Diceros bicornis minor: one gene and its partners. The protein of the gene in region 3 binds, or shares a complex with, the protein of the main gene of each other region. Links are inferred from orthologs where the notes say so. Each region holds a gene or a part of one and is shown on either strand. Other genes may lie near its edges.

Region 1 (7,967 bases), on a different chromosome or scaffold from region 3:
GTGGTGTTGATAAATACTGATCTAATTATTTGTGTTCCAATCCCCATCCAAGGTTTGTGGGTGGAAGAATTATTGCCTACCATTAAGAACATAAAAGTGAGTTTAAATGTGAAGTATAAGTGGAAGATTGGGAAGATATGATTTCAAAACAAGACAAAATTACAGCTGTGTATTTTTAAAAACAAGGACAAAACCTGTGTGCATATAAAAGAAGACAGCATAGGAACAGAGAACTCATACTTCATCCTACAGATCAGGATGGGCTGGAGTGTGATTTCTGGTTTTGGGTACCACAATTTAAGAGGAACGTTGAAAACTCCAGAAAATAAATGATTTACTAAATAAACTGATTAAACAGTAGAAAAGGATATAATGGTTATAATTTTAAAAAGAGCTGTTAGTTGTTATAGAAAATGGTATGTCAGTTCCTCAAAAAAATTAAACACAGAAACAATATGTGATCCAGTGATTCCACTTCCAGGTATATACCCAAAGAATTGAAGCAGGGACTTACATACTTGTACACCACTGTTCATAGTAGTATTATTCACAGTAGCCAAAAGGTTAAAGCAACCCCAGTGTCCATCAATGGATGAATGGATAAACAAAATGTGGTATATACTTACAGTGGAATATTATTCAGCCTTAAAAAGGAAGGAAGTTCTGATACATGCTACAACATGGATGAACCTTGAAGACACTATGCTGAGTGAAATAAGCCAGACAAAAAAGGCCAAATATTGTATGATTTCACTTATATGACGTACCTATAGTGGTGAAATTCATAGAGACAGAAAGTAGAATGGTGGTTGCCAGGGGCTGGGGGAAGAGGGAAAAGGGGAGTTATAGTTTACTGGCTACAGAGTTTCAGTTGAGAAAGATAAAAAAGTTCTAGAGATGGAGGGTGGTAACAGTTGCACAACAAAGTGTTGTACTTAATGCCACAGAGCTGTACACTTAAAACAGTTGAAATAGTAAATTTTATGTTATGTATATTTAAACACACACACAAAAAAACTCTAAAAATAAAAAGAGCTGTTAGTAATTGGGGAAAAAAGTCTGCATGAAGAATGGTAGACTCCATTCATGTATATGAAATGCTAGCAGGGGAGATGTTGATGAGCCATTTTTCCATCTCAGCTGAAATAAAAATTAAAGAATATTAGATTAATTTATCACCTGAAAGATCAAAGATTAGCCATAAGAAAACATTTCCTGCTGAAATGTTTCCTAAATTCTAGAATACAATACTAAATGAAATTAAGGGAAATTCAAGAATGGATTTTCATCTCCTTGGATTGTGTATGTGTTCCGTGGACCATATCTGTAGAACCGTGGGTTAACTAGACAATTATTTAAGATATTTTCTTCTTCTCCGATTCTACAAAATTTATCCATTTCATCCTGGTGGGATTATCATCTGAGAGCTAAAAGGAAATCTGACACTAGGGGAAAGGTCCTCTGTTTCAAGAAATTTAAATCTATTATAATGTCCATGACTTGTAACTATTTCTATAGAATTCAACTTGTAATCATCAAGGTTTTTAAGGCTCACTTTAAAAATTTTATGTAAGGACAAAAATCAAAAGAGTTGACTGTTTTTCCTGCCATGTTTTCACTTATCTTTTAATGCACTCACCTTTTGACTGTTCACAGAATATCTGTTTGCAATACATTGCAAACTTACTGAACAGGGACTAAATCAAATTCAGCATTGTGTATAGCAGTTATTGTACTGTTTATTCAAAACGTTAACTAGATGTTTTAAGAAGATCTAGTCTTTTCCCAGAAGTGGAAGTATTTTAAGAAAAATAACAAAACAAAACCCTCATCAGATTATAATAACCATAATAATACCTTAAATTATAGGATGCCTTTTTTCTAAGAAGTTTAAAGATGCTTATACACATCATAACTTTTATTTACCGCATTTCACTACATTAGATACTAAAGATGATTAGAAGGCACCAGATCCTATAATCTCTACAACTACCTTAAAACATGTTTGTTCCTCCTTCTTTGCACAATGGGGGTATTCTTTAAATTATGGCTTCTCCTATTTCCTCAAGTGGCCAGTGGTTTTGCAATCAGCACACAACTTAAAAGCTTGCTCATGAGACAATATGTTCGTCATCTAAACTATACCTTCCTTGCCCAAGTACAATTCTAAAGTTAACTATGAAATTCTAGGACCACCTTTTAGGATGTGTGATCAGAGCAGATACCTTTAATAAGTGCTGATCTTGTCACCTGCAGTGTCCTTTACCTTGCAACCCTACCAGCAACTAGAAAGTGGGAGACTAGAGTTGGGAAGATTCTTTACCATGTGTTTAGCTTTGCTGAGCTCTTTGGTTTCCAAACAAATTTCCTTGCTCTGAGATACAGGTTTCTGTGTCATTTCAACTCATCTTTCCTAAGGGTATTCAGCCATTGATAACCATTTCCCTTATGGATCTCTTGCTAAGTTTCCAGAACTTGGATTCCGCCAGTTTACTTGCTCTAAAAAGAGCTAGAAAGCAGGCGTATTTGGTTGTGAATCTTTTCTTGAGTCTGGTGGGTTTTAGTCCTTATTTTACACTTGTGTCTGAAGCTAAAACTACTTGTGTCTCGTGAGTGTATAAATCACTTTTCTCTAAGGTAAAAGTAAGTTACAAAGAGGGTTTGAGAAGCAAGCGCCTGTATGGGAGTGCAGTACCTGGATCCTGGTCCTTAGGATCATGGGCAGGCATGGTGCCCGCCCCAAGGCGCTAACCCCCGGGAATTCCTTCCAGATTTCTCTTGTGGCATGGGTGTGGAGGGGGCTCCAGCAGCACTCAGGCTCTGGAGGCGGGAAGCAGGCTGAGAGCGGACATTAGCACCCAGCAGGACAGGAGACCTGGCCCAGAAGTCTCCGCTCGTCCAGCACTTCATTCTTACTTACAATGCTTGCAATTTTTAGTTAAGGTGTCCGTCAACTTCTGCAGCTTTTTGCGATTCATGCCGGGCGCTCACGGAATCAGGCAGCGGCCGGTAACTAGCGGCGCACGGCGCCCCGGACCCTCGCGAGCCTGGGGCTGGGGCAGCCGGGCCGGGTCTCGGGCGCCGGCGCGCGGCCAGAACACAGAGGGGCCATGGCAACGCCTCGGCCAGCCGCCGATTGGCTCCCGGGCGCGCGCGGGGTGCGTACGCGGCCCTAACACTCGGCGTGGCCATGGCAACGGCTGGACTGGCCGCCTATTGGTTCCTGGGCTGGGGTGCGCGGTCCCACTTGGAGGTCGAGGCCAGGCTCCTTGCAGACTGTGTTCTGATGGCTGACGTCGGAGTTTTGATTTTCAGTGGTTTCTGTCTTTTGGGTTCACGGCACCTTGGATGGACTGCACTGTGAATCATCAAGGTCTAAAAGTATGTTGTGCACGCTGTGTGAGAGATGTTACACGAGGGGCGCCTTAAGCTTCAGGGAGATCTGGGGGAACTTGGAAGAGCTTCAAGAATTAGCAGGTGTGTTATCCAAACGATTGTTTTACGGGTGCATGAAGGTGAAGAGCTTGCTCTTAGGGCTGAGCCACTCTTGGTTATCAGTACTTTTGCTGTGATGCCAGGAGGGAGTCTGGAACAAGATATCTTCAAGTTTTGGGTGATGTTAGTGAGAGGAAGAGGAACTTGGATTAGTTATTTTCTTCCTCCCCCCGCATACATTCTTGGGGGTGAGGGTGGAGGCTGTCAGTGGAATCTTGGAAAAGCCACTGGCAATTTCTAAGTTAGTTAAAGAGGCAGCCTTCCAAATAAGACAGGCTGACAACTACCACTTGGCTATGTGGTACAGCCCAATCTTGCTTTTTTGGAAAATAATCCAGTAAAATTGATTTTTTACTTATTTGAAAGATGAGTTCCGTGACTGCAAAGGGTAGTCCTTACATCTTTAATGTGAGAGGACTTTCTGCTCTTTTTAACCACAGATGGGGCACCGTATTTGAATTAAGACAGCAATAAAATAGGTTAACTCAGCCAGGAGCACAAAACCTAGAGTATTCTCCAACGTGTCTACATGTTTAACTTCAGAGGGGGAAATACCTTTGAATACAAATTACTTTATAGTATACATACTGCCATCGTTAGACTGAAAGCAGGAAAATTCTGCCAACCATGAGTAACAATCCAAAATGAAATAGTTCCAGTGTTGAGGTCTCTGATTTTCTTTCCTTGTTTCATTTGTTTGTCGAGTGAAGGATTGGACGCTGTTTGAAACCAGAGTCAAGGGTGGTTGGTGAAGGCAGGGACTGTATCATCCTAAAGCAAATTCTCTGAGAACAGGTAACCAATATGAAATGATGGTGATTATGAGTTTGCAACAGTTCTCTGGTTAAATAGTATTCCTATATGCCCTCTTGACTAGCAGCTGTGACATTTCTCATGCGATTATGGAGAACAAATGGGAAAGATTGGATCTATTCTAATTACACTCACCTGTGAATTACACTCACTAGTGGCTTTTGTTATATTCCAGGGTTGTAGCAAATATTTAATGCATAGAGATTGTTGCAGTGCTCATTCCAGAAGACAAGAAGCTGAAAGAGTGGTCGTCGGTAGTTAATAAGAGAGGCCGTGGGCCGCAGGTGTCTCACATGGCTAGGTCTGTCGAGAACCACCTCCTCCGTGTTCTGGACATGAGCTGGCATGCCTTGGGGAACGGCGTCCACTGTGGGAAGCACGCTAATGGGCGTGTCCAGGCGTCTGCGCAGACGTCATACAGAGGAGCTTGTTGCCGGCACCTATAGGTGAGCTAATCCGTTCTTACCTCGCAAGCTTCAGGCCTGGGATCCATCAGCTATGTTCCCTTAAAGTGGAAAAAGTGATGTAAGGACAATACCACAGAAGGCTGATGTTAAAAGATCAAATCTGTTCTACCAGGCAAAAATTCCTTAACCTGGTTAGAAAACTTTGTGAGTTACCCTCCTCCTGATCTGTCTCCTCCCTAAGTTCTTTTTTCCGTGTAATCTTTTAGCAAAACATTTCCAAATGCATTGTTCTGTGAAATGCACTTCTCTAAGACAATGGGCTGCTGAGTTGACGTTACAAAAGTTTTTGCAAGGATTTCTCAGGGAAAGCAAGGTATTTATTAGGGACATGTTTTGTCAACATACTGCTAAACTTTAAGGCGTTCATTACATTATTGTGAGTTTTTTAACGTACTATTTTTAGACTTTAGAAACAAACTGCAGGCCTGATAGAATCAGCCAATCACATTTCAAGGCAAATTGAGATTTCTATTTGTAGTTTCTAGTTGCTTGTGTGGAGCAGACACAGGATTACTTTCCCCCGAGCTCTTTCAGAGTAAGGCAATTAAGCCTGAACAGTTACCTCATATCAAATCAATCAATAATAGAATAATAAACTGCATTTAATTTGTACTATATACAATTTTTACTATGCGTGAAATGATTATAGGACTTTCCAAAATTCAAGCAATTTTTTGATGGATACTTTTGTAAATACAAAAGTACATTAAAGGGACTGTTAATGCTATAAATGCTTCCTTTAACTTTGTGTGCAAAACAACCTTTCCTTTGAATCACAATTAATTGGAATTTTGCCATGATAAATAGTTTGGACCTTGAGTTGATGAAAATGTTTTACTTAATGTGGACCTTTTATGATGCAGGCATTTGGAAGCTGTTTAAGAAATGACATCATATAATTGATTTCCAAGTATATTATAAATCTATTATGAAATTATTTTAATAAAAGGCAAATATAAAGGTTAGTTATTTACATAATTTAAATTCATTTTTACCAATTTTGTTTTATAGAGATAGAGATGAGAAATGCAGAGGTGATTTTAGCCAACCATGTGGGTGGTTGAATCTCCATGGCTTTCTCTTGCCACTTCCCCTGTGCTGCTACACGGTGGTGACAAGCTGCTTTCAGTACCTCCAGCCACCCAGCTGTCTGCCCTAGGACTTCTGCATATTCTTCACCCCACCCCAAAGGCAGCTCTTCCGAGAGTTTTTGACTTCCCCATGTAGAGTAAATCCCTCCCTGTGCATCCTCATTCTCTGTCCCAGGACCATTGCCTTTATAGCACTTGTCACAATGAGTGATTACTTTCTTTCTGTAATTTTTCCTCCCTACTAGACTGTCAATTATGTGATGTCTCTCTCTTTCTTCCTATATATGTGTCTATTTTTGTGTGTGTGTGTGAGGAAGATCGGCCCTGAGCTAACATCTGCCAATCCTCCTCTTTTTGCTGAGGAAGACTTGCTGTGGGCTAACATCCATGCCCATCTTCATCCACTTTATATGGGATACCGCCACAGCATGGCTTGCCAAGCGGTGCGTCGGTGTGCGCCCGGGATCTGAACTGGCTAACCCCGGGTTGCCGCAGTGGAGCGCGCGTTGTACTTAATCGCTTGTGCCACCTGGCCAGCCCCTATATATGTCTATTTTTATCTCTGTATCTATCATCTATCTGTCTGTACCTCTGAAGGTTGACAGCACAGTTCATGTTCTGTTGTCTGTGTTAAGGGAGAGGAGTGGGAGAATTCACCTGAGCAGGGGTAAGCCCTGAATTCCCCCATAGCACCCCATCTGGGAGGGCCCTTGTGAACACACAGCAGGGCCTAGAAAAGAGGCTGAGTTGGAAAGAATACCTTTTCCCAAAATACACACTCAATATTTGCTGGTGTTAATACATTTCTAGATAATTTTTTTAAACCATAATCAAGTGACTGGTGGCCAAGGCAAATGCCTAAGGTTTACTAAGGATAGGATTCTTATATCTTACATGTAATTTCTTACATGTAATTTACAAAGTTAAAAATTAAGATGTGGCACGTGATAAGTAATTATTGCAACTTCAATAATGTCAGCAGGTTGAATAAAGAAGCTGCTTCTCCAGGCCTTCCATAGCCAACCAAGAAATCCCACAGAACCCGCCAGGCTCCTCCTACTGAATGCTGGGTTACGGGCACCCAGAGCTAGGTCGTGGCAAACTGTGCTGTCTGCATAACGACCACAGGGACAGTAGTGCCTGCCACTTTCCAAGGGAGCCTGGAGCGCCAGGGAGCACTCTGGCTCTGATCCTGTCCCTCTGCAGCTGTCACATGCCTCCTACGCAGAACAGAACCAGGCTTGTCCTCTCAGACCAGGCCTGGTACTGCCTGGGCCTCTGAGCCAATGCTGACCAGAAAATGACCTATACCAGTCCAAATATTTGAGACCAGGCTCTCCTAACCACATCCCCCACTTCCATCATTCTTGCTTACTCAGAGAAAAAGAAAGCTCCCAGAATTGCCTATCTCCAAATACTTACCCCCTTATTAGACTTTATTTCTTAGCCTAGATCTCTCTAACACCTTTCAGCTGTACTCAACAAACCCCTCCTCAATTGTGAACATTTACCTTACACGATCCATTTTTGTACAGAGCCTTCTCTCCACCTTTCTTGTCTGAAACCTGCCTCTCCCCTGAAGACACTGCTTCTTGTGTAGATATTCCCCCGAAAAGGCTACGTATTTTCTTATACTTGCTTATTCACAGCCAGAAGGAAGTCAAAATCCTGTTGACCTTGCATTATCTTTTCATTATTGTCTAAACTGTGCCCTTTCTTATTTGCCTTCTCAGGTGTAGGCTGTGCTTACTGCCTCCACTGCTGTGCCTCCCGTTTGAGCTGTCCTCTTTGCTCCCACCCAGCCCCTGCGTTAGCCCACTGTCTTCTGTCTCGTGCTTCTCCAAGCCACCCACAGGGCTGCCAGAGTGATGTAGCTAAAACACACATCCACCTATGTCTTCCTTCTGCTTAATATTGAAATGCCTTCTCAGTGCCTATAAGATAATATCCAAGCCCTGTAGCACAGTTTCCACAGTTCTCCAGGATCTGGCCTCTGTCTGCATGGTTTGTAAGCCTCTTCTTTGATCAGCCCCTGTGTATTTAATGGCTGGAGTTCCAGCAGCCGTCTTAGACCATGAGGTTCACTGGGGACATGGGGAAC
Region 2 (7,724 bases), on a different chromosome or scaffold from region 3:
TCATGGCCCATTCCTGATATGCTCTACTTTGGAGGGAGGAGGGGGCACATACCCACTTTTTACTGAGCATCTACCAAGCGCCAGGCAGTACACTGAATGCTTTCCAGACATTCTTGCTAATCTTTACAGCTCATAGGGTGAGTGTTATGCTCATCTGACAGCTGGGGAATGTAAAACTCAGAGAGGTGAAATGGCTTGCCACAGGTGACATGCTTAATAGACAGAGCATTGGACTCCATTTTGTCCCTTCCATGCTCTGCCTACCATGCCAGCGTGCCTCAAAATGCGGAGCCCAGAGCTGGACACAAAACCCTGCCCAGCCCATGCCCACTGCCCATTGACGCAGGCAGTCTGCCATCACATGCCCCGCTCGGACATCTCCAACAGACCGACCCTTTCTCTCCTCGGACTCTGGGCCTGGAAGAAGGGCTCAGGATGGGGGCGGGCTCACCTGGCTGAGCAGCCAGGGGTGGTCCTGCAGCAGGTGGGCCCAGTCTGTGTCAGGGGTGACCCGGGCATACTTGAAGCGGTTCTGGATGGCCGACGTGGTGCAAATGTACTTGTAAAGGAGCTCTTTGCCCGTCTGCTCTGAAATCGCCTTGGCTGACATGGCTGCAGAGGGACCTGCTCTACCTGTCGGGGTAAGAGGAGCTGGTCAGAAGAGGCAGGGAAATGGAGACCTACACCTAGCTGCCCCCAGACAGTAAAACAGATCTCAGCCCTTCTCAAGAGGGAGAAGAAGAGCTGCCCCAGCAGGAAGGATGGAAGGGAGATCTCAAACAGCACTTTTGACAGCAGAGAAGGAGGATCAAGAAATGATGGGGGAGGGAAGATGGAGAAAAACAAAGGTGGCATTTCTCCTGGGACTCCGGGCCTCAACCCTGTCTCTACTCTCTCTAGGCAAACCAGATCACCCATAGCCACATTCGTCCTGGAGCCAAAGGCAGCTGGATGGGGAGACCAGAAATCCTAGTGATGTGACCCAAACCTGAGTGCCGTCCCACCCGAGGAGGGCACACAGACACTGAAACACACCCTTTGGTTCTATGACTGGAGGGGAGCACAGCTGGAATGGTGCAAAGCCGGCCTTACCCCCACCACAGGTTTCATCTACCCCATCCAGACTCACCCCATTTCACACACTTATAAACCACCAGGCAGAGGGCCAGGCCAGCAAGTTTTCTTAGCCTCAGGCAGGATCGAGCCCCCAGGAGCAAAGATGAAGAGTCATCTCAAAGCTCATTTCTCCCAGGACACTAGACTCTCACCCCTGAGTTCAGAGCAGACACGGGGCGGGGGAACTGTGACCTTCAGTGGGTCAGACCACCCGCCCCACTGAGTCACTTGGCTGCTAATTCAGAGCAAAACACAGGCCTCTCTGGGGACCACTCTGTAGTGGTCACTTTTTTTTTTTTTTTTTTTTTTGTGAGGAGATCAGCCCTGTGCTAACATCCACCAATCCTCCTCTTTTTTTGCTGAGGAAGACGGCCCTGGGCTAACATCTGTGCCCATCTTCCTCCACTTTATATGGGACGCCGCCACAGCATGGCCTGCCAAGCAGTGCGTCGGTGCGCGCCCGGGATCCGAACCAGCGAACCCCGGGCCGCCGCAGCGGAGCGCGCGCACTCAACCGCTTGCGCCACCAGGCCGGCCCCTGTAGTGGTCACTTTCAACTGAGCCAGAGCTGAGGGAGGAGGCAGCAAGCATTCTCAGTCACATGTATACAGAAATTTACCTTATGGGAGCGCTGTGAGGTATGTCGAGATTCAGAACCCTATTTCTTAGATGAGAAATAAAAGCTGGGAGGGGTTAAGATAACTTGCCCAAGAAGCCTAACTAATTAGCAGGGGACCAAAGACTTGAATCCAAACCTTCTTACTCCTAGTCTCCAGAAAACTGCACACCTCAGCCCGAGAGAAAAGACCATTTCTCCAAGAACAAGGCCATGCCCCCCTTCACCTTACAGAAGAGTCTGTGATGACAATTTCTTCATCTTCCCTCCCCACTGCTTTGTCCTGACACACCCTTCTCTGACAGGTAGTGACAGGAGAGCTGGGGAGAGGAATGGGGGAGGGGGAGGAAACCAAGTCATTCATGCCAAGAGCTTGGCCAGATCAGGAAAAGTCACTCTTGTGTCTCCCACAAAGAACTGAAGTTGTTTAATTTGCTGGGGGAGGAAAGTCAAATAAAGGAGGGTGGAGTTAGGGAGCTGGCTAGTTTATACACACAGGAAGGCTGGTCTCCATCCCCAGCTTAGGAAAGGCCAATACTCCAGAGGCCACTCTGCATCTCCCTCTCAGTTGGCCAGACTGGGGCTCAGGTTCTAATCCTGGCTTGGCTGGCTCCCTCAGCCTCCCAGCTAGCCTCCAGCTGGGCACAATGGGCACATTCAGTCTGGTGTCTGGCCCAAAGTGAAGTAGCTGGGAAGGGGCTCAAAGGAGATGTTGCCTTTTCTGGCCTTCCCCTGGGATGACTTCTAGCTCCTTCCCAACATGAGTCTCCAAAGGAGATGCCTCCACTGGCCCCACTGGCCCCAAAGTCCTCCAGCCTCTCACCCACTCCAGCTCCATTTCCCAACCTTCTTGACTCAGACCAGAAAAACTGGTCCTGAAATCAGATGGGTACACCTGCCCCAACCCCTCTCCCAAAGAGAGTGTAGCCCAAGGCAGATCAAGCAGAGAAAGGAGCAGGCAGCTTCTGACCACTCTCAGCAGTTCAGACACATCAGGCACAAGTGATCACAAACTCCAGGAGGAAGGAAGCCCCTCAGCTAAGCCTCTCCAGCAGAGAGAAGTCTGATAGACACTCCCAGAACAAAAAACTCCTAAACCTGGCACCTCCCAAAACAAAGACCCAACTTTGGAAATGACAAGGGTGAGAAAAGGGACCTTCTGCAGCGGAAAAAAATCACAATTTTCTTGAGCCCCAGATGAAATCTCAGACCCAAGAGCTCATCTCCATAAGGTCCTCGGAAGAAGGATGGGAGAGAAGACACAACAGGGAGATGATACAGGACAGAAAAGATTTGCCAGTTTACCAAAACGACATATTTGCCACTAGAGCACTTTGGCTTAGAAGGGGAGGCCCTTATACGACAGAATAAAGGAATCTGGCCTCTGCCTATTCACCAATGCAGGGTAAGGAGGCTCATAAACACAGGGAGGGGACTTGGTGGAGACAAATCATAAGTTTAATTATTCAGTGGGGTTCTGAAGTCTCTCTAGGGCAGTGGCTCTTAACTTATTTGAGGTCTCAGACTCTTTTGAGCATCTGAAGAAAAGCCCAGAAAAATGTACACATACTCAACTGTGCATATCATTTCAAGGTGCTGACCTGTGACTCTGATCTGATGGTCCACAAACCACCAGTTAAGAATATTTGCTCTAGTGAGAAAGGGGCTTAAAGTGTACACCAATCTGGGTTTGGGGAGCTCCCTCTAAAGTCTTTGGCTGCCTCCCTAGGAACTGAATGTACTGTCAAACTGGTGACAGATGGTTTCAGGGCACAGCTAAGACCCCTGGGGTCCACTTTGGGGCCCCAGGAACTGTTACCTAGTAACAGATAAACGTGTAAACCATTTGGGGGACATCATGCCAAGGAACCTGAAAACACACACATACACTCCAAGGGAGGGATCTTATGAGCTGAATGGGGTCTTTTTTACAGACAGGGTAAGTGACCCAGGATTGAGTTCATCCACAGCAGCCACCGAGGGCAGAAGGAGCCCACAGGGAAGGCTGAATAAAAGGAGCCTGTTCCCCAGGAACGTACCCCTGGGACACAGCCAGTGGACAGGAATCACTGGGGATGTTACTTAGGGTCTGTCTCTGGGAAGGACAAAAAGCACTCATTTTAAGGTTAGTATCCGTAGGACTGAGGTTTTTTGAGAGGACAGGCAATCCATGGAGTAAGGAGAAAGGCAGAATTCTGTGAGCGTCCCCCACTGCAGCAAGCATAGTGTCAGATTGGGGGCGGAGACAGCAACTGCCCAGTGTCTGAGGGGTCTTCCCATCACCGGCCCCAAAGCTGTTTAAGAAGCTAAGAGGTGAAAATTACCCTTCTGGGCAGCTGGGGTCTACCAGCTGTCCCTCACCCAACATTTCAGAAGGAACTGAGCTGGCTGAAACAGAGAGCAAAGTTAAAGGGTGACGAGAGGAAGGAGCTGACCGACTGCAGTGTGTTATGTACTGCCACCAACCATCCTCTCCAAAATCCTCTTCCCAGGCAAACTGCCAGGGACCACCTAATGGCAGAACTCCTTGGTACCGCAAGGCATCGGCCAAGTGGAGAGGGCAGCAGGCGCTGGGACTGGCCCTCTGTCAGGCCCGACAGGAGGGCGGCGGCAGCATCCTCAGGCTCCTTGAGGACCTTGCTTAGCCAGGCTCAGCGGCAGCGGCAGGGGTAGGGAGGGAGACGGGCAGCCCGGCCATCTGTCGCCTAAAGGCTGGCCCCGACGGCACCTCCAAAGCGAGGAAGGTCCTTCTTGCGCCGCCGTTCCATGGCCAGGTCTTCGCGGCGAGGCCAGGCCTCAGGTACCCTGGGACAGCCCGGCCCGCGTGGCCCGCACGACTAGCTCCCTCCACTTCCGCGGGGCTCAGTCGACTCCCCCACAGAGCTAAGAGGAAGGGCTTGAACCTGGCTGGAGAGGCGAGTTTGGCCACTGCTCTACTTCCCGGCCCCGGTATCCGGTGGGGGACCCAGATGGGGCAAGAAATGGCCCGATGACTGGTCCCAGGTAGGGGTGAGGGGCGCCAGGATGGGGCAAATACAATTCAGCGGAGAGAAAAGCAAGACACGGCGGCAAGCCCTGTGCAAACTCCCAGGAACTGGGATGGGAGGGGGGGAGGGGGGAGTCGACACGCGGCCACCGGCCGAGGTCCCGGGCGAAGGCTAACCTAAAGCTAAGACCCCCCCCCCAAAACTTCCAAGCCGGTGCAGGGAGGGGGCGTGAGCAACAAGCCCGCGTCCGGGGAGATGGTTCCGGGTTGGGGGGGAGGCAGGAAGCTCCTGGGTGGGGGCCCTCCCGCGAAAGCAGCCACCCGCCACTTACCACTCTGAGAAAGTCTGTACGCGGCGCTCCCTCCACAGTACCTGACTCACCGCCCACTACCGGAGCGCTCCAGCCTCTCGAAGCCTCCCGGGATCCCGCTTTTGTCTGGGCCCCGGGGGTCTACTCCCCGCCCCCATCGGCACACGGCGCGAGCCGCCCCGCGATTGGTCACACGCGTTCCCTAGCCTGAGCGCCAGCGCTCCTCCCAATTCGCTGCTCGGTACAGCCCCGCCCCCGGGGGGCGGAACCCAGGGGCTGCTGGGATTTGTAGTCCAACTAGCGCGTCCGTCCTAGACCGCGGGCGGGCACCGCCTCTCCCGAGCCAGCAAGGCCGGGGCCGGGTTCGGGGCGGGGCCTCCGGTGGGGAGATGGGCTGGGCTACGCCGGGAGGAGAACGTTCGAGGCTGGGGGCCGTGGCCTGATTTGTTAGAGGCTGGATGGCCCGCCACTCTGATGGGGGTTTTGGGGCGGTGGGGGGTTGGGCGAACAGTGTGTAGCGCTGCTTTGGGGACCTGGAGTCTCCTTCCTCTCTCCCTCTGGGAGAAACTAACGTCCGCATCCTGGCTGCCTGAAATCGGCCACCAGTTGCTTAGACCCGCTTTTTAAGCAGCCGTGGCAGACTGCCTTCCTATTTGCACCTGAACCGTCTCCATTGAGCCGGTGGGGCGAGGCCGAGAAATCAGACCAGACCTCCCAATGTGGGATAGGGAAGGGGAAGGGGTGAGCAGGTGGGGCTAGGAGAGTGCCAGGCACACCTCACACGCCTTCTGGCCCACTCACCTGCTCACCTCAGCACGGAGCTGAGAATTCAATGGGAGATTCTAGCACAGGTCTGGGGCCATCTCTGCCTGTCTTCTGCTCCCGGCGCCCTCCCCACAATCCCACGCTTAGACACTGGAATGAATGAACTGCTGCCTGCCCCCTCTCCGTTACTTGTGAGACATACTATATTTTCCAAACCAAAAACTGGGACACCCGGTCTAATAGGTGCTGGTAAACTTGAGGGGCAGAATATTTGAAATCAGACAGTCATGGAAACCAGGACATACATTTACTGCTTTGACATTCTGGAGCTTCCCCACCTCCACCCCAGTCCTGTAGGTCTGTCTAACTCCAGGAAGGAGAATTATGGTCTGATAGTTCAGGTGAAGAGGTCAGCCCACGGTGCAGAGAATCAGCATGCCTGTGCCCCTGCCAAGCACCAGGGTCATACTCACACTGCAACAATGTTTCAACATTCTCCTGGACAAAAATTTCCCCAAGCCCTCCTCCCCCTAGTCCTGTTGTAGCCAGGAGTGGGGCAGCTAAACTTGCTGCCCATGCCTGAACCAAGTGATCCCTGATGATGTCACTTTCTGGTCCCTTCCCTCACAAGCATCCTTTTGAAATAGCAGCTCCTCACCTCCTCTCTCCTCTCCTAGAGAGTCTTCTACCCCTACACGGATTGAGCTCCATCCCTACCAAGAATATCCCCAAACAGCACAAATCTGGGAGAAGGGTCACCTCTCTGTAGGTAAAGAAAACATGTCCTAGAAGGTACTCCATTTCTGGCCTTGGGGGACAGCAGTTCAGGCTCTTCCTGGGCTAGCAGGAAGACTGCAGTCAGGAGGAATCACTTATGCAGCAATTTCCGGTTAGAAAGACACACTCGTCCAGAAACAGGCATCCGGGAAAATATAAACTATAACAAACTCTTTGACGTCAATTTGGCAATATCAATAAAAATTTAAAATGCACCTGCCCTTTGCCCCATCAATTCCATTTCTAACAATTTATCCTTCAGATATACTTGCATATGTACATGAGGATAAGGATCTTTGTCTGTTTTCTTCGACTGGTGTGTCTCCAGCACTTTGAATCTGGCCTGGTACATAGTAAATGCTCAATAAATATTTGCTGAGTGATTAAGTCCCCCATCTAGGTATTGCTGGGCCCAAGTTTGACTAGTTCTGGGCAGGGGCAACAAGAAAGAAACTGTCCAGGGAGTGAGGGAGGAGAGGCACAGGCCAGAGGGTCCGTGAGCCAGCTAACCATTGAGATGTTTCAGTTTTCTCAGTGGTCCCATTCCAGGCCTGTACCCCAACCCCCAACTCTCCCAGGAAAGACTCTCTCATTACCCCACCGTGACCCTACAGAGGCTCCTCTGCCCTAAAGTAACCAGTCTGGGCCCCATCTTCTCATCTTTCTGTTCTCTGACTTAAAAGCTCTAAACTCTTTTGTTTTTCCTACTTGAACCACCTTCCTCCACTTCTAGACTGGGCTGGAGGACAGGTCCATGTCACCAGACACAGAAGGATATGGGTACCATCTCTGCATCCAGCTTTGGGCGTGCTACCTCAGTTTCAGAAGGCTTAGACTGCCTAATGACTCCCTCCTAGATTATAATCCATTTTAGCTAATATTCATTGAGTGCCTACTATGTGAAAGGCCTGGGTGCTAATGCATACTGCTCACAGCAACCCCTTGAGCAGTTGTGCAGATGAACAACTGACCCTCTGCCACCAGGTCTCCTGTCCTGTCCACTGCAACCTGCTACAGGAGAGAAGTAGGGGAAGAAAATCATATCCAAGGGGTCTACCCCATTTGACTGTGAGCTCCTCAAGATCCAAGAGTGTGCCTTGTTCGTTTTGGCATCCCCAGTACCTAGCATGGGGCCAGGCACATATTAGGCACT
Region 3 (7,667 bases):
GAGTGAGTAGGACTAGTGAGGTGGTCCCCTTCTTCTCAGAGCCCTGTCCCTGGGCACGTATGGGCCATGATATGAAATTTCAAGTTGACACCCCTCCAGATTCATCAGAAGCTGGGGGCTGCCCTCAGAGACAGGCATCCTTGACTCACCCCACTCCTCTCCTGGGGCAGGGAGGAAGGGGGACCGGGTGAGTCATCCGGTGACTCATCCCACCCCCTGCCTTCAAGCACCAGGGAAACCCCAGCCCCTGGCTGTGCCCACGAGGTCCCCACCCAACCCTGCTGCCAGACTGGTGCCCTCTGGACATCTTGTAAGGAAAATGGACAAGATCTGTGTTGAGAGGAGATAGCCTGAGGAGAAAGAGCCAACCTCACATGACCTTTCAGTGTCCAGAAAGGGGGGGGCCTGGAGGTCCCCCAGACTTGGGGTGTTCTCATGCAAAGCCCTGATGTCAGACTTCAGGGAGAGTGGAGAGCCGGGGGAAAAAGTGCGGGAAGTTTTCGGGTGGAGCTGTGAACCCCAAAACCTTGCCGGGCTCCACCCCTTCCTGAATCCCCACCCCAAGTGCTACGAGATCACTTCTTAAATTACAGAGATTTCCATGGGGTGGAGAGTCGGGGAGTCTCTCCCAGCCTGGGGGTGACCGTCCCAAACTGTGTACTTCCAAGTAAATAAAGAAATCCCAGTCTGAATAACGGATTGGAAACTTACCGAGCAGCAGAAAAGTCAGAGTTGGAGTCTCGTCCCTCGCTCTGGCCTCCGTGCCCCGCCCTTCTCCTCCCTCCTTCCACCCTCTCGAGGCCCCCGCCTCCCTCCCCGCCTTCCTCCCTCCCTCCCTCCCTCGCTTGCTCGCTCTCCCCTCTGGCTCTCTCCCTCCTTCTCCCCTCCAATCCGGGAACCCTTTCTCTCTCTTTCTCTCTCTCTCTCCTTCTGCCTCTTGTCTCTCCCTCCTGTCCTCACTGCCTATACCTCCTCCTCTCTCTCTTGTCACACTCCTGGTTTCTCCTTCTCTGCTCCTCTCAATATATACCGACCCTTTTATACCCACCCTGACCCCACCCAGCTGAGGTCTGCAGCCAGAGGGAGGGCCCAGGCACTTGGTTCCTCCTTCTCTGGGCCCCCACCCGTTGCCTCCAGACAAGCATCTTCTCATCTCCCAGGGTTGAGAAGTCCTTGGAGCACGCCGGGTGGACCAGGGGCCCTGGGGTGGGGCAAGCGTCAGAGGGTGGGAGGGCCCGAATCTCAGGCCTCCGTTCTGGGTCGCATCCTGGGATCGGATGTCTGCTTTCCTTGATGGAGCTTAGGACTGGATACCCACAGGGATGGGAGTCTGGGGAGGAGGTCAGATTCCTGCCGTGTGCAGTGGGCTGGGGGCTGGTGGAGCTGGTGGAGCTGGCACCACAGTGGGGGTCAGAGGATGGGAATGGGGAAGAGTGAAACTCTGGAAGGCGGCAGGAAGTGGAGGTTGAGAGTCCCAGCGCTACCGTTTTCTGCCTGGGGGTCACCAATTATTTCACCTCTCTGAGCCCTGGTTTCCTAATCTGTGAGGTGGGTACAATAATACTAATAATACTGACAATATACTAATACAGATAATAATTCTGATACTTATTCTAAATGAATAAGGTCATACCAGTACACTAACACACCTAACACGTTCATCCCTTTCTTCATCAAATATTTATTGAACATCTATTTTGAACCAGGAGTTAATAATGAAGAAAACAAATGCGAGCCCTTCTGTTATTATGGAGTCTACCTTCCAGTTTAAGGGAGACAGACAATAAAGAGGAAACATATCACTGAAGCCGATAAATATCACAGAGTGCTAAGTGCTTTGAAGGAAATAAAATAGAGTGATGGAGGTAATGAGGCGAGGCGACTTTAAACAGGGTCATCAGGCGAGGCCTCTCTGAGGAGGTGACATCTGAGCCGAGACCTGAAGGAGACCTGAAGACAGGAGTCATTTGAATGCTGGGAGGAAGAGGAAGTGTAAAGGGCTTTGAGAACAAGCTCAGGTTGTTTGGGGAGCAGACAGAAGGGCCAATGTGGCTAGAACATAGGGAGCTAGAGGGAGGGGTAGGAAGGGAAATCAAAGAGAGCCCTTGAAGCCTAGAGGAGCCTGGATTTTATTCTAAGTGCGGTGGGAAGCCACTGGAGGTTTTAAACAGAAGTGCAATACTGGGGACTTAATGTTAAGTATGATGATGATGATTATTATGTATTCTTGGGATATTGAATTAGGGTGGGGGGTGACTACTATGTACGTGGGTCTCTTGGAAGAGTTGGCTGCTGGTGAAAAGTGAGGTGTCCAGTTGTCTGGGGTCCTGAAGTGGAATTGAGAGCTGGTGGACTGACATCCTGGGTTCCTGCAAAGGAAGAGAGCTGGATGATGGGATGTCTGGGTATCTGATGGGGCCGGAGCTAGGGGGAGGGAGAGTGGTTGGTCATCTGGGCTCCCTGAGGGGGTGAGGGATGGGCACTTCAGTGACTGGGTGGGTACTCGAGTGACCTGGAAGCTGGGTAACAGTATAGCACAGACTTTAGAGACACAGTGGCTGGATTCAAATCCAAGCTGCTTTACTCATTAGCTGTGATTTTGGGCAAGTTACTAATAACCTCTCTAGGCCTCAGTTTCTTTATTTGTAAAATAGGACTAAAAATAGTAAATACCTCATAGGGTGGTTCTAAGAGTAGTCCCCTGGCACAGCACTGTTGTATGTGCTAGTTACAGGAGGCATTGGGGCCCTGAGTGGATTCAGTACTGGGGGACCCCAGATCGAGGACTCTAGGACTTGGGGAAGGGGCAAATTCTTGGGTCCTTTGGGCTCCAAGGCTAAAAGGTTGGGAGTACAAAATGAGGGTCTCTGGGTTGGGAAATAAGTAGTCTCAAATTTAAGCCTTTGAGGACAGAGAGGCTCTGAGCTCAGAACCCCAAGGAAATCAGAAAGTCTGGGTCACTGGGAAAAATTAGGGCCTGGAGCGTCCTCTGCTCTTCCTGGGGTGCAGGCAAAGGGAACCGGACCTAGTCTTGGGAGGAACCTGGGAACCAGAAAAGAGGGAGACGGAAATTTGAGCGAGGGAGGTGGACAGGAGGCTAGGACTTTGAATCAAGTTCCCCGAGTGGAATGAACGCCAGACTTGCGTCTCCTGGGGATGTTCGGGAGTCCCCCATGCTAGGGCCCTGTGGAGGGGAAGAATCAGGGGACCCGGGAGCGGTGGCAGGATCTCCCCCTCCCGGGCCTCCAAGGCTACGAGCTGAGCTGAGCGCCCGCGGGCCGCTTCCTCCCACAGGAAACCGCAGGCGTCAGGCACACCCAGGCTGCAGGGAGCGGCGCCCACTGCCGGCCCGCTGCAGGGAGGCCCACGTGGGGAGCAGTCCCCCGCCCGGGGGGCGGGCCCTGCGGAGCGAGGGGGTGTGGCCAGACAGGGCGTGGCCGGAAGGCAGAGGCGGAGCGAAGCGCCCTAGGCCCCGCCCACTTCCGCCTCAGTGCGCGGACTCCGCAGACAGCAAAGGGTTTTTGGCGGCTTCCCTGGAGGCCGTTGACTGCGCATGCGTAGTGAGCCGTTGTGAGGACCTGAGGTGGTGGTGAGCGCTCCTCCCCCTCACAACTCCCAGCATCCACACCGCCTCCCTGCTAATGAATCCTCAGCGTGGTCTTAATCAGCTTAAGACACGCATCTCTCAGGGCGCGTCCGACAGACTTCGGCCTAGCTCCAGAGCCTTGCAGACGCTTCCCTCCCAGCCCTGCCTCCACAGGCTCTCTCAGCTCCTGCCTCCTCCTCCCGGAAACACACAGCCCGCCCCTCACAGGCCCGTGCTCCCCACACAGACCATCCCCACCTCCCACAGGCCCTCCGACCCTGAGTGCCTCCTGATGAGCCCCGTGCCCCGCACGTCCCGGGAGCCAGCGGCCCTCCTGTGCCCTCCCACCGGACCCCTCGCGTGTTCCTCCAACCACGCCCCCGTAGCCCCACAGCCCCCACCCTCCTCTTGTACCTGTGCCCCTCCCCTCCCAAGGCCCCGCTGTCTCGCCCCCTACAGGGACCCGTGCCCCTCCCCTCCCAGGGCTCCCAGCAGGCCGCCCCCACATGGACCCGTGCCCCTCCCCTCGCAGGCCCCCGACCCCGCCCCCTACAGGGACCCCTGCCCCGCCCCTCCTAGGGCCCCCCAAGCCCCGCCCCCTACAGGTCCCCGTGCCCCGCCCCTCGCAGGGCCCCCCAGGCCCCGCTCCTGACAGGGACCCGTGCCCCGCCCCTCTCAGGGCCCCCCAAGCCCCGCCTCCTACAGGTTCCCATGCCACGCCCCTCGCAGGGCCCCCCCAGGCCCCGCCCCCTACAGGTTCCCATGCCACGCCCCTCGCAGGGCCCCCCAGGCCCCGCTCCTGACAGGGACCCGTGCCCCGCCCCTCGCAGGGCCCCCCAAGCCCCGCCTCCTACAGGTTCCCATGCCACGCCCCTCGCAGGGCCCCCCCCAGGCCCCGCCCCCTACAGGGACCCGTGCCCCTCACCTCGCAAGCCCTTCCAGCAACGTCCCTCGCAGGCCCCCCACTGTCCGGCCCTTCATTGCCCTCCTAGCCTCCACTTTCCGACCCCCATAGCCCCACCCCTCGCAGACCACGCCCCTTACAGCCCTCCTAGCCCCGCCCCTTGGAGGGCTCCCCCACGCGTCTGTTCAAAGCGCCCGGGACCCAGCACTTGCGGCCTCCTCGGCCCCTCCTCCCCAGCCTCCCCTCCCGCGCCCTCTCCGCGCTGCCTTGGTCCCTCCCCGGCCGCGGTCCTCAGGCCTCATTGGCCCCTTATCTCCGCAGTAACCAGACCACAACAGTGAGCTTGAAGCGCCGAGGACAGGTCGGGCACTCCAGCAGGTAGGGCCCGGGCCTCGCCCCCCACAGCCGGCCGGGGCTTTCCCCTTCCTTTGTGACCCCTTCCCCAAGCAGCCCCGCCGCAGAGATACCGAGAGTCTAGGGGACCTGTCCCCCGCGCCAGAGTCAGAGCCGCGACGCAAGACAGCATGTGAGAGGCGGGAGGTCGGGAGGGGTGGGGGAGAGGCCGGAGAGGGGACCCCTGCAGCCCACTGGAGGAAATGAGACTCAAGGAAAGGCCAGAGGTGTTCGGGGTCACCCTCTTCCAAATCCTACCCCCTCGCCGTTCGTCGCCCACTCTCCTCCGGGCCCTCTCCCGCCCGCTGTCTGAAGGGCTCCCGTGTCGTCCCTACAGGAACCCCACCTCCTTTGGCCAAGATGCCTTTGGGACTCTCTCCAGGGAGCACCCGCTCCGAGGATGGAAGCGAGGCCTTCCTGGAGGGAATAGGTAATTCATACCTTCTTGCTTTATTTCACTCATTCTTTTCCTGCGTTTTCCCAAGTTCCAGGTCCTGAGCTGCCAGGCACTGGGGACTGGGAGGGCTTCCAGGAGAGCCCTCTAGTACCCGAATGGAGGTGGAGCAGGACAGATGGGGTGGCCAAGCCTGGGGAGCGGGCGGGCCGAGAAGACTTCCTGCAGGAGGAGAAGTTTGAGTGGGGCCCAGAACTCCTCCCAGGAATGACCAAGGGGAGAAGGAAGGAAAGAGTGTTTCAGCAGAGGGTACAGCATGAGGCTAGAGCGGGGTTTCTCATCTTCCGCACCATTGACACTTGGGGTCAGATAATTCTGTGTCGTGGGGGCTGTCCTGTGCATTGTAGGATGCTCAGCAGCGTCCCTGGCCTCTGTCCACTACATGCCAGTAGCATCCCCCTCCCCCCACATTGTGACAACCAGAAATGTCCCCAGGCATAGCCAAATGTCCATGGGGGGGCAGAATCCCTCCTGGTTGAGAACCACTGGACCATGGCTGGTGGGGAGCTGGTGGACGAGGCTGGAGAGGTGGGTAGGGTCAGGTCGTGTGGGGCCTTGAACACCAGGCTGAGGAGCTGGGACTGTGTCCTGAGGGCGCTGGAGCACTGGGGGAGGCCTGTGAGCAGAGGAGAGGCAGGGTCCGCTCTGGGGGTAGAAAGACCCTCTGGAGCTGTGAGGGGAGGCCGGGAGGTTGAGGAGGAGGCTGAGGTGATGGTCCAGGCAGAGAGAATAAAGCCTGAGCCTAGGCGATAGGCTGAGAGTGAGGAGGCGGGAGGATGGGGCTGAGGACTGCTGGGCGGTGGCGCTGAAAGGGAAGGGAGGGAGCAAGAATACTGGCTTGGCATCTGTTCTCAGCTTTCAAGTTCCACGTCCTGTGCGGCGGGTCCCTGAGGACCGTGACGCCTTCCAGGAGCGCCCTCTAGTGGGGAAACAGATGTGTGCCCAAACCTGGAGCGGGAGTGGGTTAGGGGAAAAATCCCTAGGTTAACTTGGGGTCTGGGGAGTAAGAAGGGATAAGGAAGCTTGAGGGATACAGGAACTGAGATGCAGACCTAGAGGGGCACTGGGGACTGAGTCTGCAGTTCAGCTGCAGTTTGCGTGACCCTAAGGGAGCCAGAATTCCTAGGTCCCAGGGAGGAAGGGGCTGGGGCCTGGATTCCTATTGAGTCCCTTGCCTGGTCCTGCTGCAGTGGATTGGGAGCTGAGCAGACTGCAGCGACAATGCAAAGTGATGGAGGGGGAAAGGCGGGCCTATGGCAAGGAGGTCCACCAGCGCATCAACAAGCAACTGTGAGCTGAGTGCGAGGGGGCTGGTAAAGGGGCTGGGGGCCGGACTCCTGGGTCTGAGGAGGGGAGGGCAGGCCCAGTGTGTCCAGCCGTTAGTGATGCTGAGCTCTGCCCCTTGTGGGCCTCTCCTCCACCTCCCTGCCGGGACAGCGAGGAGATCCAGCGCCTGCAGGAGGTCCGGGACCAACTGCAGGTGCAAATCAGCGTCGCCCAGAGCCAGGCCAAGCGGCTGCGAGACAGCAAGAGGCTGGAGAACATGGGCCACCTGCTGAAGTGCCAGGCCCAGGTGCAGGCCGAGGTCACGGAGCTGCAAGAGCAGACCAGAGCCCTGGATAGACAGGTGGGTTCTGAGCCCTGACTCTGTGGATGCTATTTAGCGGCAAGTGTGTAACCTCTTTGAGCCTTAGCTTCCTCATCTGAAAGATGGGGTTGTTGAAAGCATCCACCTGGGAGAGCTGTGTTCGGTCTCCAGCAGGAATATGGGTGTTGAGGGGCTGGTGTGGTTAAGGGGAAATGTTCACCTTCTGGAGTCAGTGAAACCTGCACTAGGATCCTGGTCCTGCCACATCAGAGCTGTGTGACCACGGGCAAGTCTTCACCTCCCTGGGCCCCAGTTTCTTCATCTGCAAAAAGAGGATGTTGGTAATGCAGCAAAGTCTAGACAGATTTTTAATCCCACCTGCCCCAAGGTCTTGCTATGTGACCTTGGAAACAATGTGGCTTTTCGAGGCTGGAGTTCTTTCAAGTTTTGATGACCATGACTCCTTGCAATGCAGTTCATACGCACACAGAAGCACATGGATGTAAACACACACACATATATCTGAAACAAGTTTCATCAAATAATACTTACTTTTTCTATGTGGAATTCATTCTATTTTCTATTCTAGTCTTCATTTAAAAAAAAAGTTGCTTGCCTAGACCAGATGATTTCTTGTACACTATTGGATCACAAACAGGAGTGTAAAAGTTACTTATCTTGGTGGTCTGTATTAGTTTGCCATTGCTGCTGTAACAAAGTACCACAGACTTGATGGCTTCAA

What was found.
Region 1: ODAD1 (region 3) and CLXN share a complex: the UniProt entries of both Homo sapiens proteins name them as parts of the outer dynein arm-docking complex. The link is inferred for Diceros bicornis minor from reciprocal best matches to the Homo sapiens genes ODAD1 and CLXN.
Region 2: ODAD1 (region 3) and ODAD4 share a complex: the UniProt entries of both Homo sapiens proteins name them as parts of the outer dynein arm-docking complex. The link is inferred for Diceros bicornis minor from reciprocal best matches to the Homo sapiens genes ODAD1 and ODAD4.

Annotation. Positions count from the first base shown.
Region 1 is NC_080760.1:7,586,228-7,594,194, reverse strand, and holds the start of CLXN (calaxin), read right to left. Parts: upstream 3,030-7,967; 5' UTR 2,979-3,029; coding exon 2,921-2,978; intron 2,913-2,920; exon of another isoform or gene 2,730-2,912; coding exon of another isoform or gene 2,696-2,729; intron 1-2,695. UniProt on the Homo sapiens protein: Component of the outer dynein arm-docking complex (ODA-DC) that mediates outer dynein arms (ODA) binding onto the doublet microtubule. Seems to regulate the assembly of both ODAs and their axonemal docking complex onto ciliary microtubules.
Region 2 is NC_080757.1:41,159,850-41,167,573, forward strand, and holds the start of ODAD4 (outer dynein arm-docking complex subunit 4), read left to right. Parts: upstream 1-4,650; 5' UTR 4,651-4,721; coding exon 4,722-4,735; intron 4,736-5,050; exon of another isoform or gene 5,051-5,157; intron 5,158-7,724. Other genes in the region: ACLY (ATP-citrate synthase), read right to left, coding at 452-610. UniProt on the Homo sapiens protein: Component of the outer dynein arm-docking complex (ODA-DC) that mediates outer dynein arms (ODA) binding onto the doublet microtubule. Plays an essential role for the assembly of ODA-DC and for the docking of ODA in ciliary axoneme.
Region 3 is NC_080773.1:24,034,319-24,041,985, reverse strand, and holds the start of ODAD1 (outer dynein arm-docking complex subunit 1), read left to right. Parts: upstream 1-4,666; 5' UTR 4,667-4,868; intron 4,869-5,220; 5' UTR 5,221-5,243; coding exon 5,244-5,313; intron 5,314-6,527; coding exon 6,528-6,627; intron 6,628-6,774; coding exon 6,775-6,964; intron 6,965-7,667. UniProt on the Homo sapiens protein: Component of the outer dynein arm-docking complex (ODA-DC) that mediates outer dynein arms (ODA) binding onto the doublet microtubule. Involved in mediating assembly of both ODAs and their axonemal docking complex onto ciliary microtubules.